2 linked regions of the Macaca fascicularis genome follow. The protein of the gene in region 1 purifies or fractionates together with the protein of each later gene. This does not show direct contact. Links are inferred from orthologs where the notes say so. Each region holds a gene or a part of one and is shown on either strand. Other genes may lie near its edges. The genes, in order: BACH2 and MAFK.

Evidence for each region.
Region 2: the proteins of BACH2 (region 1) and MAFK purify together in Homo sapiens (co-immunoprecipitation; 3 studies listed by BioGRID and IntAct, with this or other methods). This does not show direct contact. The link is inferred for Macaca fascicularis from reciprocal best matches to the Homo sapiens genes BACH2 and MAFK.

The regions. Positions count from the first base shown.
Region 1 is NC_088378.1:85,423,585-85,433,065, reverse strand, and holds part of BACH2 (transcription regulator protein BACH2), read right to left. Parts: intron 7,223-9,481; coding exon 5,630-7,222; coding exon of another isoform or gene 5,471-5,629; exon of another isoform or gene 161-5,470; intron 1-160. UniProt on the Homo sapiens protein: Transcriptional regulator that acts as a repressor or activator. Binds to Maf recognition elements (MARE). Plays an important role in coordinating transcription activation and repression by MAFK.
Region 2 is NC_088377.1:34,975,720-34,985,795, reverse strand, and holds the start of MAFK (transcription factor MafK), read right to left. Parts: upstream 5,000-10,076; 5' UTR 4,803-4,999; intron 1,716-4,802; exon of another isoform or gene 998-1,715; intron 1-997. UniProt on the Homo sapiens protein: Since they lack a putative transactivation domain, the small Mafs behave as transcriptional repressors when they dimerize among themselves.

The sequences.
Region 1 (9,481 bases):
AGTTTCAACTGCCTAATAGATACAAGGTATTATTATTTCTGTTTATCAGCTCTATTTATCTTTGTCACATGGTTTCATCTTACAGACATGTGCTTTGGAATTCCAGACTCTCACAATGTTCTAGACAACATAAAAACACTGTTTTAATTAGAAATATGGCTGATTTCTATGCTGCCCAGCAAGGTTTCTTTTTATTAAGCAGACCAATTACAGACACTTCTAAAAACATGCCCGATTCACCAAACCACAAAAATGATTGTACAAATTTTACATACAACATGTGTCTCAAAGTCAGCATTTGGGTGGGAAGAGTTAAGAGTCAGATGGCTCTTTTGTACCATTTCCATGTTTTCTCTGGACTTTATCTCTCTTCCCTTCTCTCTGTTTCCCGCCCCCTGCCTGCCCCCAACACACTCTCTTACCTCTCATACACTTTTATCCCTCTCAATGTAAAACATGTTAATAAAGCAAGTCCAATGAATCCATACTTTTGACTGTGCAAATAAACCCTCTGTGGTGCTTCTTTACTAAAATCTACAATTAAGTAGAAATGGTCCAGCTACAAAGCTGTCTTACTAAGAAGCTTACTACTTTGGAAAATGACTGTGATTTTCTATAATTTCCAACATTTAAAAACAAACCTATAAACTATAATGAGATAAACTATAACTACTTCACACCCACTAGAGGGCTTTAACAAAAAAGATGGGCAATAACAAGTGTTGGCAAGGATGCAGAGAAACTGGATCCCTGATACATTGTTGGTGGGAATTTGAAATGGTATAGCCACCTTGGAAACAGTCTAGTAGCTCCTCAGAAGGTTAAATACAAAGTTATATGATTCAGCAGTTCCACTCCTAGGAATATTATGAAAATAACTGAAAACAAGTCTTAAAAAACTTGTCTCAAATGCTCACAGCAGCATTATTTATAATAGCCCCAAAGTGGAAACAACCCAAATGGCCCTCAACCAATGAACAACAAAATGTGGTATTGGTCAACAAAATGGATCAACATAATGGAATATTACTCAGCAATTAACAGGAACAAAGGACTAATACATGACAATATCTCTGGTGAGTACATCAATGGCAAAGGTAAACCTTCAAAGTATTATGCTAAAGTGAAAGAAGCTAGACACAGAAGGCTACATCTTGCAAGATTCTATTTATACAAATGCCCCAAACAGGTACATCCACAGAGACAGAAGGTAGATTACTGGTTGCCTGGGGTTGAGGGGAGTGGGCAATGAGGAATAACCACTAATGGGTACGGCATTTCCTTTTAGGGTGGTGAGAATGTTTTGGAATTATCACAGTGGTGATGGTTGTACAACACTGTGAATATATCAACAACCACTGAATTGTTCATCTTAGGGTGAATTTTATGGTATGCGAATTATGTCTTAATTTAAAAGATAAACCTACATAAAATTCAAACATTACATACATACATAGAAATGAAACTTTCCCTACACTCCTCTTCAATGGTGCTCCCGGTTTTTTCTTATTCTCTATACTGATTTCATTTATAGGGTGTGCATATTCAGAAAACAAACTAGGACCTTGTGCATACTGTTTTGTGATTTTCACTTAATGTGACTTGTTCATTTTTTTTTTTTATTGGAAGAGAAAAATTCCCAACCTGACTTCTTAAGGAATATAGCAAATCCAGAAGTCATAAAAAAAGACTTATACCTTGACTACATGAAACTAAAAAAACTTTTATATGGGAAAAGGTACAATAAATAAAGAAGCAGACTAAGGGAATATCCAAGCGACATTTATGAGAAAGGGTTAATATTCCTAATATTGGGGAGTAAGATTCCTACATGTTGATTTAAACAATGCAAAAGAAAATATGGGCAAAGAGGTGAACCAATAATTCACAGGAAATGAAATATCAATGTTCAATACACACAAAACAACATGTCAGCTTCATTAGTAGTCACCATTTTTTGCCTATCAAATTGGCAAAAATTAAAAAGACTGGTGACAACTAGTATGGGCAAGAATAGGGGAAACTGGACATTCTAAGTTGTTGGATGAAATGTGAATTGCTACGACGTTTTGGGTAGGTCATTAGGTAGTGTTTAAAAAATGAGCACAACATTTAGCTCATCTATGAAACTAACCCACAAAAATAAAAGCACCACTACTAACAGTATGCTCACAAAATGTTTATTGCAGCCATGTTTATCAGAGGGAAAAACTGAAAACACCTGAAATGTCCACTGATAAGTGACAGATGAATGAACTACGATTTACAAGAACCAGAGATACTAGAGAAACATGTCTTGGCCCTATGTGATTGACCTACAGCCATGTGGATGGTAGACAGCTATGTGAAAAAAGGAAGCTGCTAACTCTACAATATAATGCCATTAAAATAAAACCCAAACCCATAGAGAGGTGAATATATATTTGTATATTATTGCAGGCAAAGAGAGAGCCTGTGAAATTTGATGTGTTTGGGGCTGGGTACGCTGTGTTCTAGAATTTAAAAAAGAGTGTCATTTTAAGAAGCTGATTATTGATAAAGGATAATACTGTGCTAATTTGATCTTTCTCGAAGCTAGGGAACAGTTAAGAAGGAAATGATTGTGAGATGGAAGGGCTGCTTAACATGGTATAACTACAACATCTCACATAATATAAGGTATGTGAACACTTTTCTTTTGATCTAACATTTTGGCTCCCTACAGGGGTGGAAGAAGAGAGATTGGGAAAATGCACGTGAAGTATTAGACTGGTGTCTGGCAAGGGGTAGAAACTCCTGTCTTCACTTCTGACTCTGGTGTCTCCTTGGGGTTCACTTGAAAGAGAAGGCACCTGGATCTCATAGGAGAGCAGGGCAGAATCAGCCCAGCAGATGCTGGCTTCTTCTGATCAGTTCAGGAAAACAAGTTTTGACTTGTGGAGAAGGATCTGCCTTGAGCACTATTACTGGGGATAATACTTCAACCAGGGTCAAAGTAACTCCCTAAAGCAGGTTATCAACTCCTTGAGCAGCAGTCATGGCAAGTCCCTGAGACAGTTCTTGGAAAGCTAACCTCCTCTACTCTAGGAAAATTAAGACGTAAAATTGGAGAAAACCTTGGCTTTACTATAACTGTCCTGTCCGAACTGTACCACTGAGAGGGACTATGATTTCCAAAATGGCATACAGCTTTGGTAAATGTCTCTTCTTTCACTGTTCAGGAATGCAGAAGATGGATTCTTTTTTTAAAGGTAAAAATAGGAATATTTTTAAAAGTAGGGGTATTTCTCAAGGGGGGAAGGCTAGTCCTGTTCGTGACTGTTTTACAGGTTGAATGAGTCCTCCTTTTAATTGAGTTACTATTTTTAATTCTAAGGTAAACAACTGACACGGCTCCAACACAGAAAAAATACATGTGTTCTTGCTGTGGTCTCGAGTTCCAAGAAATGACTCTATGCTCTCTTTTGGGATATTGGTGGCGGGGCGAGGGGGTGGGGAGCGCAAAAGAAGATGTCTCTGAAACTGACAGTTCTTCGAACAAATGCAAATGTCATAAAAACACAAGCTTCCCTTGAGCTTAATGGCCAGTTTTTTTTTTTTTTTTTTGGAGACAAGGTCTCACTCTGTCACCCAGGCTGGAGTGCAGTGGCAATCTCAGCTCACTGCAACCTTCTCCTGGGCTCAAGAGATCCTCCCACCTCAGCCCCACAAGTAGCTGGGACTACTGGCATGAGCCACGACACCCGGCTTTTTTTTTTTATACTTTTGGTAGAGATGTGGTTTCACCATGTTGCCTAGGCTGGTCTTGAACTCCTGAACTCAAGTGATCCACCCACCTCAGCCTCCCAAAATGCTAGGATCACAGGCCTGAGCCACCACGCCTGGCCCCAGGCTCCTCTTAAAGGAGAGACAAAAAACAGACTGCAGGCCTTTGTCCTCTTCTCCCTCCAGCAGTCCTTGGTAGGAAGCCATGATGCAGATGAGCTGGACGCAGTGGCTAGCCTTCCACACCAGGCATGCTCATTCACGGTTTCAGAACAAAAGGAAAACCTCACTAAAGAGGTCAGAGGGAAAGAATGAGTAAGGAGAGAGAAAACATAAGCCTTCACTATTTTCAGGAAAGCTCAATCTTCCCAATGTTAGGGACACAGATGTGAGCCTGGCTTGGGGCACGAGGCACAACCCGCCACCCCAAACCTAAGGAGAGACGGTATATTCGCATGGGAATAGCTCCCATTCAAATTTCCTTTCTAATTTATTTTAAACTAAATCCTTTCAGTGTTTCTCTTTCTCCATGTCTGCTAGGCAGTGAAGAGAGGGGAAGAAACCAGGCTAGCGAGCAAAGAAGGAAGTGACCACAGGGCATTTTTGGCAGTTGGCATAGGGCCTTTGGCATCTACTTTCAAAACATGCCCAAACTAAAAACCTCATGTGCTTCTCGCCAATCTTGCAGAGGCTGAATAAACTGCACGTGGCTCTGTGAAAAGCCACCTCATCCCATGTGGCATTTCTGCTGTCTGGTTGGGTTAACATCTCTGCCTTACAGAGGCTGGTAACATCCAGAGAGCAGACGGGTACCAAGGTTACTGGCCTCAGGAGGACCACTTTTCATTTCTTCCTGTGTTTTTGGGATACACAGCTCTGAGAAGGGACTTGTCACTGGGTTTGTTCATTACCGTTCCTGAGGGGCGTCTGAGACACAGGTAGCAGTCTCAAGCTGGTACCTTGTCAATCAGCAAGACAGTGCCATGAACGCCAGTCACGACACAGACTCTCTCAGGTCTTCCTAGGGAATGTTCATGTTATTGGGAGGTGGGTCCTCTGGGGGAGGCCTCTTCTTTCCTCTCCTTAGTCTTGTGAGTCTTGCTCATGATGTGGCTGCTGTTGCCCCTGTTCCCCTCTCCCAGCAATGGTAAGACACACATGGGGCCTCTGGACATTCTTCCTAGCAAGTACATTGCTTTCAGGGTGGATGAAACTGCTACTGTACCCCACTACTTCTCAAAATGTCTTCCTAGCGTTTGAGGGAGCTTGGGAAATGATCCATTATACATTATGTGTGGCCGACTAGGGTGCTTCTGTGATGACCCCAGGACTGGGATAAACAGTGAGCCTTCCATCACCTTCACTGTGATGGACATGGGATGGCCCTGGGGTCTTCTGTTGACAAGGAAAATCTAAAAGGTGCTGGGAAAGTGTTGATCTATTTGGTTTCAATCAATCAATCTGGAAAGAGATGCTATATCTTCCTTTGTGCTGAAGGGGTGAAGGGCAAGGATGAGGGTGATGAACATGGCATCCTTCCAAAGCAGATGTAGGAGGGGGAAGAGAAGGAGGAGAAAGAGGGGGGTGTGCAGTGCCTCAGTGCACTTCATGCATTAGACTTCAGTATTTTTTTACTCAGCAGCTTGCCTCTGCTTGTTGAGTATTGAGATCCAGATCAAATATTAAGTGCTTTTCTAGGACGGAAGTGGTTAATGTGGAATCACCTTCAGCACCCTGCCTCTGTGGATGGGGAAGGCAGTCTCTCTACTGCCATCTTTAATCTCAGCATGTAAGAACAATCTGGGAGTGGTGGGGGGGCAGGGAATAGTCCAGATAAAGGGCCTAGAGAGTGGGTTACATGCTTGAATTTATGTGGGTTCCCTACCTCCTGGCCCCTGTCCTGCACAGGACACGACTCACTGTCTGCTTCCGAGAACGATCCGGATTCGTCACTGGAGTTGGTTCCGTAAGACTGCTCACATTTAATCTGGGGCCGCACTTGGTTGTACATTCCGTCTCCCATCAGGCCTGGTTCCTGATGTTCTGTGGCAAGGAATCTGGCTCCCTGCGAACAGGGCGAGGAGGAGAACTCACAGAGAGGGAGGCTGCAGGGCGAGCCCCCGCTCCCGTCCTCCGCATAGGAATAGGAGGAGCAGGAGCTGGAAGTCCTGGTCCTGGTCTCCAAGGGGGGTGAGCGAGGGCAGACTTTGATTGGCACCGGGCAGCTGGTGTTGGGCCGCATCCTTCCTGGCAAGTGGTCGGCCATCAGCCCACCGTGGGAGTAGGCCTGTGAGCTGGGGAGGGACTGGCCAGCTCCCACCCACAGACCCTTTGGCACCGGCTCAGAGAGGTCTTTGTCCAAACTGCTCACCCCAGAATAAGAATGCACCGAGGTGCTCACTTGGTCACAAGCGCTGGAGGAGAAGATCACGCTCCTCCGGTCCAGCTCTCCCTCCTGTTTACAGAGAGCCTCCAACCCAGGCCCCCTGAGGGGCGACCCCATGGTGAAGTTGGACACCTCCTTCTGGCCCACATGGGGCTGTCCATAATTCCCTGTGAAAGGGGTGTAGTCAGTTTTAAGGTCACCCTGAGTGATCCCCTTGTCAAAAGGGCACGCTGGACTCCTGGCAAAGTGCTGCTGAGATGTACTGGGCAGGCCAGACAGCTCCACACTTTTCGTTATGCTGAACAGAGACCTTAAGCAGGAGGGCGAGGCCACGCTCCTGGATCTCTCCAGGCAGGTGGCCCCAGCTGGGGCCGTGGGGGTAGGGGCAGGGCTGGGCTGTTTCCGGTCCATCTCGACATCCCCCGCTCTGTCCTTGGCGTCAGGCTCATCTCCAGACAGGCAGAGTGTGATGCTCTCTTCCTCATTCTCTTCACTGGGCGGCTCACTTTTAATCTGCCCCCTGGCAAGCCCTGGCTTGAGGCTGTTGCTAGAGTTTTCTTCCCGGAATGTGCTTGCAAAACCTGAGGTACTGTGTGATGATGCATTATAGACATTCTTGGTACATGCAAGCTGGTATTTCTTGTATCTGGGGTACTGCGTTAACGCGTCCTTTTCTGAGCTCTCCTTGGTGTCCGTGGGCACGTCGGGCTCGGGCAGCAGGGCTTCTTCCTTCTCTGCTACAGGGATGGCGGCGGCCTCAAAGCTGATGGGCTCTGGAAGCATCTGGTCCCTGGGGCAAGCCATCTTGGCCGTCTCTGAATCCATCGTCTCCTCCTCTTCATCCTCCTCCTCTCCTGCAGAGTTCTCACAGTCCTCGTGCGGGCGCTGGCATGCAGCATCCTTCCGGCACACAAACAGGCCATCCTCACTGTTCAGGAGCTGGGTCTGCAGGAAACTGAAGCAGGAGTCCTCCAGGTTGTGCATGCGCAGGAACTCAGCACAGCGGATGACCTCGCGGATGTTTTCTCTGCTGAGTAACAGCTTGGCAGTGTAGGCAAACTGTAACAGCGGCCCAAAGCCCCTGGCCGTGACCTGCAAAACAAACAGGAAAATCGCCAACATTACCATCAGCACCGCTATTGTCCCGAATCCCTCAACTGAAGCAAGATAACCAGACAGTGCTAATGTCCCAGAATAAAGACTGCAAAGGGGCAGTTAATCTTGTAGTACTGGGTCAGCGATGATTCTGCTTCCAATAATTAGTGCCTGTCTCGTGCATGCCACTGCTGTACTCCATCACGGCACAGGCAGAATTGAAAATCACCAGGGTCAAGTGGCTAAACAAGATGACAACGGGTTCAGTGTTTACACTAATGAAATATCCTGGCAAAAATGCATGGTGACAATGGGGAGCCTATTAATTTCCCTCCCAATCGGTCCTGTTGAGAGCCATTCTACACGAGGGGGGAGTGTTGTGACAGTTCTTGCAGCTTAGCTTGCTGGAGCCCAAGAGAGCCTTAACGTTTTCTTGTCAACCACAAAAATGACAAGGTGGCCCTGCAAAAAACTAAGTCCAGGGAGTTGCAAAAATAGGTTTTCCTCACTTACAATGTTAAAAGAGACATTAAAACAACTCTGTTTTGCTCATCCATCACAGTTTCTACTTGAGACTTTCGGTCATGATGTCCTACCTGATCTTATAATGATGATGATCTCATTATCTCACCAGAGATGACAACAATCAAAAGCGGTGTGCTCAAGACGAAATCAACCCCTGGCCCATAATGAACAGGGGTTGCAGAGCTAAACAAACCGGCTGTCATTTAAATGGTTGAACCTGCTGAGTGGCACAGGGTATGGGCTATTCCTTCCCTAATTATTGGCAGCAGCTTTGCCATGCAGCTGTCTTTTTTTCCTGGTAAATCTTCAGGGGCTAAGCCTACTGTCATTTGCTGCTTATCCATTATATTTTACATAGATTGAAAGTGTGCTATTTATGCACAGCTTGCATATGCACACAAACACATGTGCGCGCGCACGCATGCCTGCTCACACACAATGACTTAGACAATTAAGAATATGTTGCCTGAGGCCAATTGTTTTTTCAGATGGAAATGGATTAAACTTGCTGCTGTTCATCAGGGTAGGCTTCCTTACCCTGCACATAAAACCACACATCCTCTAGGTTCTTGCAAGCACCGCTGACCCCACAGGAAGGTGAGGCATGTCTACAAATCCTGTACAAATCAAATGAAAGCAGCAATCATGGGGTCCTTGCTAGAAGCTATGGTAGCAGTGATACAAAATTTTAGCTGGGGGAGTGAGTGCACTGCAAGGTGAACTGGTAAGCTTTGTAGCTGACTTCTGCATGTATTAAACTCACTGTAGCATACAGAGCCCAAATTCTTGCAAGTACCTGTAATTGATGTTCAAGATTCAACCTGGACATTCACTCCTTTGGGAGTGCTCTCCAGTCCTCTTAGAGAGAATGAATGACATTGTTCTCTCAGCTCTCATAGCCAGGTGAGGAAATGTGCTGGATTCTCCAGGGCAGCAATGACTTCATATCACTGCATTCTTTCCAGTAAGGGAAATTTCTTAGACATGTAACTGAACGGGATTTTAATTGTTAATCTTTTTAAAGTACTTAAGTAAGATTCCATCTTAAATTTTTTTTTTTCCTGTCAGATGACAAGTCCAGAGATATTCGGTTAAAAAAACAAAACAAAAAGCCATGACTGCTAGACCCACATTATAAATTCTATGTGGGCAATCACTGCCATCTCCCTTTTATTATACCTAATTGTGTCTGTTTCTACCATAAGAGAGCAAGCTCCTTCAGATCAGGAATGGTTTTGTCTGTCTTTGTAACCTTGCGTCTAATCTAACCTGGGGTCTCTAACATGGTAAATACTTGTTAAAAGCTTGTATGTTACCGAATATGTCGTAAGTTGAACTGTGTGCTAACATACTACTACTGTGTACACAAGGTAACAACACAGTGTGTTTAGAGGGTGCTGTCTCAAGTTACTTTTGGAACAAGGCATCATGTAAATCAACTAACCAAACTGATCAACTGATCAAAGGCAGGCAGGCAACTGTCTTTGTTTGCCCCGTGTCACAGTACCAGTATTAAAAAGGAGCTCATCTGACTGACATTTTGTATCCTGCTAAGGTGACATGGTAATAGGTTCAGCAAATGTAGTACTGACAATACATCTGTTTTATGTCCTTCCAGGAATCTTTAAAAGAAAGTAAAAAAGCAAGGAAATGTGTATTTATAGGTAACTGAAGAAGGTGACAAGAATGTCACATGACCTATTCCTTTACTGCCACATGGCTCCACCACAA
Region 2 (10,076 bases), on another chromosome or scaffold:
TTTTTTGTAGAGACGGGATCTCACCATGTTGCCCAGGCTGGTCTCGAGCTCCTGGACTCAAGTGATCCTCCTGCCTCAGTCTCCCAAAGTGCTGGGATTACAGGCAGGAGCCACCATGCCCAGCCATTTTTAACTCTTTAAGTCCCAGCTAATACTCACTGGTCACCCATGGGTCTGGCCCTGCTCAGTGGGGGACTGGCAGCCCTGGCATCTCTTGCTGTGCTGGCACAAGCTGAGAAGGACCTGCTCTGGGGTCCAGGAGGGAACAGTTTCTCCTTAAAGTTGGGACTGGGCACGGTGGCTCTTGCCTGTAATCTCAACACCTTCGGAGGCTGAATGCTTGAGCCCAGTAGCTTTAGACCAGCCTGGACAACAGAGCGAGGCCCCATCTCTAAAAAAAAAAAAAAAAAAAAAAACATAATTTTTTTTTTTTTTTTTTGAGACAGAGTCTCGCTCTGTTGCCCAGGCTGGAGTGCAGTGGTCGAATCTCAGCTCACTGCAAGCTCCGCCTCCCGGGTTTACGCCATTCTCCAGCCTCAGCCTCCTGAGTAGCTGGGACTACAGGCGCCCGCCACCTCGCCCGGCTAGTTTTTTGTATTTTTTTAGTAGAGACGGGGTTTCACTGTGTTAGCCAGGATGGTCTCGATCTCCTGAGAAAACCATAATTTTTAAATAGCCAGGTGTGATGGCACACGCCTATGGTCCCGACTACTCGGGAGGCTGAGGTGGGAGGATTGCTTGAGCCAGGAAGTCGAGATTGCAGTGAGCTGTGATCACACCACTGCACTCCAGCAGCCTGAGTGACAGAGCAAGACCCAGTCTCTTAAAAAAAAAAAAGAGAGTGCAAAAGTGAGTTGAACAGCTGATGGCTGGATGACCCCTCTAAACAGTCCTGGCTGTGGATGCCCATGGAGAAACGGGGATTTCAGCTTCAGGGCTCTGATTCTTCCCGGATGAGAGGACGCATCAGGGCCGCTGCTCGCTCTCCAAGGCCGGCATGGGGGCTCTGGATGGGTCACTTGTTCTCTCCCAAGGGGTGAATGACAAGGCAGACCCCACGCCCCACCCCCGCGGCCACCCAGCCGGTCTGACCGAGACAGAGCGGCCCTTCCACTTCTATCCTCCACGGGTCTCCGAGGCTGTGGGATGCGGGAGAGGGAGGAGGGGTGGGAGGAAGACCAGGAACGGAGGACGGGAGTTGTGTTCGAGACTCGGGTTTAGAAATCCAGGAGCACAGCAGTAAGCACCCTCCCGCTCTCCCTCACCAGTGACTCCCACGACAGGTGCAATCCACAAAACCAGAGGCCGCCCAGGGTGTACCTGCCTCTCCCAGGAGCCTTTCTGCCAGAGACCCCAAGCCAGGCACCCTCCACAGGGGGCCACAAGGGTAGGTGGGGCCACTGTGGCACTGGTACCCAGTGGGCACCTGTCAAACAGGTGTCAACCGACTAACTGCAGCCCGGCTGCTCCCAGAGACCAGCCAGACACCCTTCCTATTGAGGATGAGGACCCCCACTGTCCGGCTGTCCTGGACATGGGAAATGCGGGAGGCACCCCACTTGGCACCCCCCAGCCCGGCCCGCACCAGCCGGCAGCCTGGCCCTGGCTGGCTGCCCTCCAGCAAGCCACGACTGTCCGCCTGGCTTGGAGGACGTCTGGTCACCTTGCATTTGCAGTCTGAGGAAGCTGTGTCATTCCGCTACATCCAGAGGTGACTCAGGCAGCTGCAGCAGCAGAGAGCAAACTGCAGAACACACCACACCTCCTCCAGTCCCTGCCCTGGCTCCCACCACACCATCCTCCTGTCCTCAGCTTCCAGCTTCCCGTCAGCGTCCTGTTCTCCCCGGCCACCCTGGGGCTTCAATCCGCTCCCAGCTTCCAAGTCCAACCAGGGGCATTCCGGGGGGCCCAGATGCCCCCCAGCCCCCAACCGCATCACTCACCGGAGTTGCCCCCACCCCTGTCTCTTCTCCTCGTCCACGCTCCAACCGGGCTTGATCCCAGCCCTCAAGCATCTCCCGCCCGAACCCGCAGCACCTGCCCAGGCTCCGGCCTCCAGCTTCTCCAGTGTGGACCACAGCTTTGCCAAAGGGATGCCCTCACCCTGATCCTGGTGCCCCCCACGCAGCCCCACAGGCAGTCAAAAGTTTTGGGGTTCCTCCCAAACCCCGACCCCCTCACCCCAACACCGTTTCAGGTTTCTGATCACCCCCATCTGCAGAGAGCACGTGGCCCCCTGCCCCCCTCAAGCCCTGCTTCTTCCAGAAACGCTCCCCACTGCTCTCCTTGCGTAGGCAAGCACCCTCTACCAAGGCCTGGTTCTAGATCCTTCTGGGGACGGGGCCCTCCCCGTGGTGTGGTGAGCTCCTCGCAAGCAGGGAGCATGTCTTCCCTACACCCCATACGAGCCTCCCACTGTACGAGATGAGCCGGCCCCGCACGGGAGGGCAGCGAGAGGGCAGTCTCCACCCCAATACCTTCCCCAGGACGCCCGACGCGCAGTGCGGACAAGCAGGCAGGTTCTACACCAGACCCCACTGGCCCTTGGGACAGGCCAGCAGACGTCACGGCCTGGGTTTCCTCATCTACAGCGGGCGGTCGGGGTGGGGCGTGTGACCTCTCAGGTTCATTTGTACCTGCTCTAAAACTCTATGATTTTAAGACGACACTCCCAGTTTCCTGAAACTGTAGGAAAGCGGAAACATGACGGAGTCTGTGACTTATAAAAAGCAAAAATAAATAGCGGGGAAAGGTATCTTCCATTCGAGGAGAGCAGGGAGGGTGGGGACGGAGCGGTGAGTCACTGTTTACTGTTGAAAGGCAGCCACACGGAGCCTTCTCCCAGCTGGCCAGATTTCCATTTCCCGTGTGGACTGGACCCGAAACCCAGAAAGTCCACTCCAGAAACCTTTAGACTCAGAAACAGCTGGGACAGGAACAGGCACAACTTCTTCTCGGTCTGGGTGGCAAACAGCTTTGCTGGAGACTGTAAACAAACGCAGCCATCGCCGAGCCCCGTGGGTGAAAGCGCACGCCTTGTAGACAGCAGAGTGGCCCGGAAGACGGTCTCACTTAACAGTGGCCTCCCGGGTGCACACAAAGGCTGGCGCCCCGACAGCCCCAACCCTTGGTAAACGCTGGCTCCCGGGTTTACCAGCACCTGGGGAATCAATGCTGTAGGGAACCAGCCCCTCAAAGCCCTGGCTCAGCTCAAGGATAAAAGGCAGGAGAAACCTGGTTTGTTTTTCTGCTTTAGTAAATGTCTTATTTTGGAATAATGAAAGGTCTAGTTTTAAAAAGCAGACTCCCTCTCCCAAGGTCAAACTCAGACATTCCTACTGGGTTACCTAAGAAGGGGAGATGTTCTCTTAAACGGCACTGGACGCCCAAATAGGGTGTAGGTGTGTCCCAGACACCTGCACAGCCCACCTATGTTCTCCAGACCCCGCCCACAGCTCTTTCAATACTCCACATCCCTGAAGACACTGGGCTTGGAGAAGCTGCACAGGGCATCCCACTCCATGTTGGAGACCCCCTTACAACAACACACTGTGATAGTGAAACCTCAGTGCCAGTAGAGACCTGGCAGCCCACCCTGGAGAATCAGAGGGGTGGGAAGGGCAGTGCCGGAGCCGAACCACAGTGATATCCCCTAGTCCACGGTGTCCCGCAGTGGGGGGCGTTTTGAGTCCCAGGATCTTCCCAAGGCCAGGCACCTGGCCAGAGAGTGGCTGGCTGCCTGTGGGTCACCTGGTGAATGAATGGTGGATCTGATTTCTGCCTCAGCTATAAGAGCCGCCTAAGAAGCAAGAAACAGCATGCTCAGGGATGCAGGACACGGGGAGAGGGACACAGGAGGCCCCGCAAACATGAACACACACGGTGTGAGGGTGAGAATGCAGCACAGGGCCACTGCTGTACCCCAGGGGGACCCAGGTCAAGGGCCAAGGCCAGGCGGGGTCCTGGCTTTCTGGGTTTTTCCGCGGCGCCTCGACCCACCCCCCCAGGATCTTGAGGCTGTGCAAACAGAGACACACACACACACACACAGCGTCACGGGCACATAACACAGTTTCCTGAACTTGACAAGAGGCACAGAAGAACCCACGCAGTGGGAGCGGGAAGAGGCCTGAGCCCCTGCCCCACATGTGAGCAAAGGGACACACGCCTTGGGGCCCCTGTCACCTGCTCCCCTCCGGCCTCCCCACGGCCTTCCTTCCAGCAACCCTGGCAGGTGGGCGGCTGAAAGCAACACCAGTCCCAGGATCCTGCCTGTGGGGAGACTCGGTTACCCCCACCCCGTCCACGGGCACGCGTGGGCCGCAGCGCCGCCCGTCACCGGGAGGAAGCGAGGGGGGCAGGCCGGGGCCGCACGCGGAAGCCACGCTGGGGCGGAAGGCACGGGGAATCCACGCGCCCGCGCCCTCCCCGCCCCGCCCCCCGCAGGTGTGAAGGCGCGGGCACAATGAGCGCCGCCGACCCGCGTGGACTCCCGTGTTCCCAGGTCTGGGGTCCACGCCCCAGGGCCCCGGGCTTAGCAAGCATGGCCCGGGCGGCACGTGCAGGGCAGAGAGCTTCGCGTCCCGGGGAAGCCCCCTGGGCCTGCGGGGCTGGGCCCAACGGGGCAGGTGCGCGGGCCGCGTAGGGGGCCGCATGGGGGTCTCGGGCCCTGCGCACCCAACCCCGCCACCCTCGGCCCGCGCCCCCGGGCGGCCGTGACTCAGCGGCCAGGTGGCCCCAGCCCCGCGTCCCGGTCTCCGTCCCCGCCGCGGCCCGGTCCCCGCTGCTCCACCGCCCCTCACCTGGCGTCGCGCGGAGGGCGCGGGCGCGCGGCGGCTCCTCGCGGGCACGCGCTGTCCTCGCGCCGGCGCTCACTCTCGCGCTCCCCTCGGCCGCCGCCGCCTGGCGCTCGGGCTCCGACTTCACGAAGAACAACAACTCCCCCCCGCCGCCCGCCGCCCGCCGCCACCGCGCCCGCCCGCCCGGCTCCCCAGCATCTGACACCGCTTCCGGGATCCGCGGCGCGCGCGTCACGCCGCCCCGCCCCCCCTGGGGCCACGCCCCCTCCCTCCCCCGCGGGCACGCCTTCCTCTCCCGCCCGGGGGTCCGCGGGCCCCGCCCGCACCTGCAATCCCCGCGCTTTGGGAGGCCCGGCGGGAGGATCTCTGTGGGCCAGCAGTTCAAGACCAGTCTGGGCAATATAGCGAAACCTCCCTTCCCCCATTCCCCGTCTCTACAAACATAAAAAACATTAAGGCCAGCTGGGCACAGTGGCTCATGCCTGTAATCCCAGCACGCTGGGAGGTCAAAGCAGGAGGATCGCTTGAGCCCAGGAGTTCCAGACCAGCGTGGACAACATAGTGAGACCCCCATCTCTACAAAAAATTACAAAAAGTAGTCGGTCGTGGTGGTATGTGCCTGTAGTCCCAGTTACTCAGGAGGCTGAGGCAGGAGGATGGCTTGAACCTGGAAGGTGGAGGCTGCAGTGAGCCATGATTTCATCACTGCACTCTAGCCTGGGTGACAAGGTGAAACCCTGTCTCAAAAAACAAAACAAAACAAGCAAACCAGCAATGTAAAAATGGGGATAAGCGGCTACTGGTCACAGCTTCTGTGAGTGGGGCCAGCCCCCTTCTAAAGCCCCAGCTGCTGGTTGCCAGGGGGCCACAGCAGGCCCAGGATGGGGTTAGGGCACCACCGGCCCAAGGAGTCCTGTGAGGGATCCTCAGGTGGGAGCCGGTCCCTGAGGGAGCTGCCTCTGCTTCTTGTCGCAGGTGGAGGACAGGCTGGAGTGGGGACCCGTCCAGAGTCCCTCAGAGGGGAGGGTGAGCCCCTTACCAAGCTTCTGGGTCCCCAAGTCCCGCCCTCCTCTGAGCGCTGCAGGAAAAGGAGTCTCAGGCCTGGCCAACCAGGGCACCCACGGCATCTGCCCAGGGTTCTGGGAAGCCTGTTTTCTCGGCTCAGGTGGGACTCGGGAGCCTGTTTCTCGGCTCAGGTGGGACTCAGGAGCAAGGACAGGGAGGTCTGTGCATCTTCTGGGTGTCATCCTTACCACCGCGTGCCTGGGGATTTAGGCAGCCGCCCAGTGGCCTCTTGCTGTGGAGCGAGGGGGCAGCCTCCCGGACCATCTCTGACCCCCACTTCTGACCACCTGGGAGGCGCCTCCTTGCTGAGGCCCACGCTGCCGTCTGGGGTAGCCAGACACAGTGATGCCTGCAACCTGGCTGCAGAAACAGGAGCCAAGAAATAGCAGCAGTAGCGACAATGTCCCACGTCCCCAGGATGTTTGCAGAAAGACATCCCCGGGGGATGGGAAAGCTGCTTCCCTTGTCCCAGCCCACACTTTGCACTTGGGGTTCTGGGATGCGCTGGGAGCCTCCAGAGAAGCTGTGAGCGTCTCCTCTTTACGTTACTCATGGTGTCGCTGCTCTAACCCAACTGCATTCTTTCCATAGTAGGCTTTTGTTACTAATTGCACAGTTATATTATCTTTTTAATTTTTTAATTTGTATTTATTTATTTTTTTATTTTGACACAGAGTCTCACTCTGTCGCCCAGGCTGGAGTGCAGTGGTGCCATCTCAGCTCACTGCAAGCTCCACCTCCTGGGTTCACGCCATTCTTCTGCCTCAGCCTCCCCAGTAGCTGGGACTACAGGTGCCCACTGCCACGCCCGGCTAATTTTTTTGTATTTTTTAAAATAGAGACGGGGTTTTGCCGTGTTAGCCAGGATGGTCTCGATCTCCTGACCTCGTGATCTGCCCGCCTCGGCCTCCCAAAGTGCTGGGATTACAGGCGTGAGCCACTGCGCCCGGCCGTATTTACTTTTGAGAAGGAGTCTCACTCTGTCATCCAGCCTGGAGTGCGGTGGCACCATCTCGGCTCACTCCAGCCTCTCCCTCCCGGGTTCAGTGGTTCTCCTGCCTCAGCCCCCCGAGTAGCTGGGATCACAGGTGCCCACCACCACATATGGTTAGTTTTTTGTTGTTGTTGTCGTTGTTGTTTTGAGATGGAATCTCACTCTGTTGCCAGGCTGGAGTGCAGTGGCGCAATCTTGGCTCACTGCAAGCTCCGCCTCCCAGGTTCAAACAATTCTCCTGCCTCAGCCTCCTGAGTAGCTGGGACTACAGGTGCCTGCCGTCATGCCCGGCTATTTTTTTTTTTAATTGTATTTTTAGTAGAGATGATGTTTCACTGTGTTAGCGAGGATGGTCTCGATCTCCTGACCTCATGATCCGGCTTTCTCGGCCTCCCAAAGTGCTGGGATTACAGGCACGAGCCACCACACACAGCCAATGTTTATATTTTTAATAGAGACGGGGTTTTGCCATGTTGACTGGGCTGGTCTCGAACTGCTGGCCTCAAATGATCCACCTGCCTCAGCCTCCCAAAGTGCTGGGATTACAGGCATGAGCCACCACACTGGCTAATTTTTGTATTTTTAGTAGAAACGGTTTCACCATTTTGGCCAGGCTGGTCTCGAACCCCCGACCTCAGGTGATCCGCCCACCTCGGCCTCCCAAAGTGCTGGGATTACAGGCGTGAGCCACCACGCCCAGCCTAATTTTTAAAATTTTGATTTATTTATTTATTTGTTTGTTTTATAAGATAGCATCTCACTCTGTCACCCAGACTGGAGTTCACTGGTGCAATCACAGTTCACTGCAGCCTCCACCTCCCAGGCTCAAGTGATCCTCCTACCTCAGCCTCCTGAGTAGCTGGGACTAAGGCTGGTGCTACCACACCCAGCTAATTTTCCTTGTTTTTTTTGTAGAGACAGGGTATTGCTCTGTTGCCTAGGCTGGTCTTGAACTCCTAGGCTCAAGTGATCCTCCCACCTCATCCTCTCAAAGTGTTGGGATTACACGCATGAGCCACTGTGCCCAGCCCAAAGTTTACTTTTTATTGTGGTAAAGTATACATCATGTAGAATTTACCATTTTAACTATTTTTTTCTAACTTAAAAAAAATCTTCTTTCAGAGATAGGGTCTTGCTGTGTTGATCAGGCTGGTCTTAAACTCCTGGCCTCAAGCAATCCTCCTTGCCAGGCGCGGTGGCTCAAGCCTGTAATCCCAGCACTTTGGGAGGCCGAGACGGGTGGATCATGAGGTCAGGAGATCAAGACCATCCTGGCTAACACGGTGAAACCCTGTCTCTACTAAAAAATACAAAAAAAAAAAAAAAAAACTAGCCAGGCGAGGTGGCAGGCGCCTGTACTCCCAGCTACTCAGGAGGCTGAGGCAGGAGAATGGCGTGAACCCGGGAGGTGGAGCTTGCAGTGAGCCGAGATCGTGAAATTGTGGTATATTTGGCCGGGCGCGGTGGCTCAAGCCTGTAATCCCAGCACTTTGGGAGGCCGAGATGGGCGGATCACGAGGTCAGGAGATCGAGACCATCCTGGCTAACACGGTGAAACCCCGTCTCTACTAAGAAATACAAAAAATAGCCGGGCGAGGTGGCAGCGCCTGTAGTCCCAGCTACTCGGGAGGCTGAGGCCGGAGAATGGCGTGAACCCGGGAGGCGGAGCTTGCAGTGAGCTGAGATCCGGCCACTGCACTCCAGCCTGGGCTACAGAGCGAGACTCCGTCTCAAAAAAAAAAAAAAAAAAAAAAAAAGCAATCCTCCTGCCTCAGCCTCCCAAAGTGCTAGGATCCCAGGTGTGATTCGGTGATTAGTCTGGGCACGGTGGCCACCACACGAGGCCAATTTAACCATTTTAAGTGTACAGTTCAGTGGTGTTAAGTATATTCACGTTGTTGTACAAACATTGCCACCATCCATCTCCAGAAATTGTTCATCATTTAGTAGTTCCTTTTGTAAAAAAATGTTAAGTTCTGGCCGGGCAAGGTGGCACATGCCTGTAATCCCAGCCCTTTGGGAGGCCGAGGCGGGCGGATCACCCGAGGTCAGGAGTTCGAGACCAGCCTGACCAACATGGAGAAACCCCGTCTCTACTAAAATTACAAAATTAGCCGGGTGTGGTGGTGCACAACTGTAGTCCCAGCTACTCGGGAGGCTGAGGCAGGAGAATCACTTGAACCCAGGAGGTGAGGGTTGCAGTGAGCTGAGATTGCACCATTGTACTCCAGCCTGGGCAACAAGAGGGAAACTCCATCTCAGAAAAAAAAACACAAAACAAAACAAAAAAAGTGTGTGTGTGTGTGTGTGTGTGTGTGTGTGTGTGTGTTTTGAAACAGGATCTCATTCTGCCACCCAAGCTGGCGTGCAGTGGCACGATCCTGGCTCACTGCAGCCCGGACCTCCTGGGCTCAAGCGATCCTCCTGCCTCAGCCTCCCAAGTAGCTGGGACTACAGGCATGCACCATCATGCCCAGCTAATTTTTATATTTGTTTTGTTTTGTTTTGTTTTGTTTTGAGACAGAGTCTCGCTCTGTTGCCCAGGCTGGAGTGCAGTGGTGTGATCTCGGCTCACGGCAAGCTCCACCTCCCAGGTTCACGCCATTCTCCTGCCTCAAGCTCCCGAGTAGCTGCAACTACAGGCGCCCGCCACCATGCCTGGCTAATTTTTTTGTATTTTTAGTAGAGACAAGGTTTCACTGTGTTAGCCAGGATGGTCTGGATCTCCTGACCTCATGATCCGCCCGCCTCGGCCTCCCAGAGAGCTGGGATTACAGGTGTGAGCCACTGTGCCTGGCCTTGAAGAAAACTTGTGTAACTTTCTTCATAACTTTAGAGTGGGAAAAGGTTTCTCTAATCATGATTAAACATCTAAATACCATAAAGCAGATTCGAGGCAAAAATCCTCGCAAGTCAAGTCACAACACAAAGTGCACGCTAGGAAAAATACCTGCGACTCAGATCTACCAGGCAAAGGGATCCTAAACGTGTGTGCAAGAGCACAACCAAAAACAGAAGGCAAAGGACGTGAATAGATCATCCACAGAAAAAGAAATCCACAGAACAAACACGTGAAAAGGTGTTCATGGCCGGGTGCGGTGGCTCATGCCTGTAATCCCAGCACTTTGGGAGGCTGAGACGGGCGGATCACAAGGTCAGGAGATCGAGACCATCCTGGCTAACACGGTGAAACCCCGTCTCTACTAAAAATACAAAAA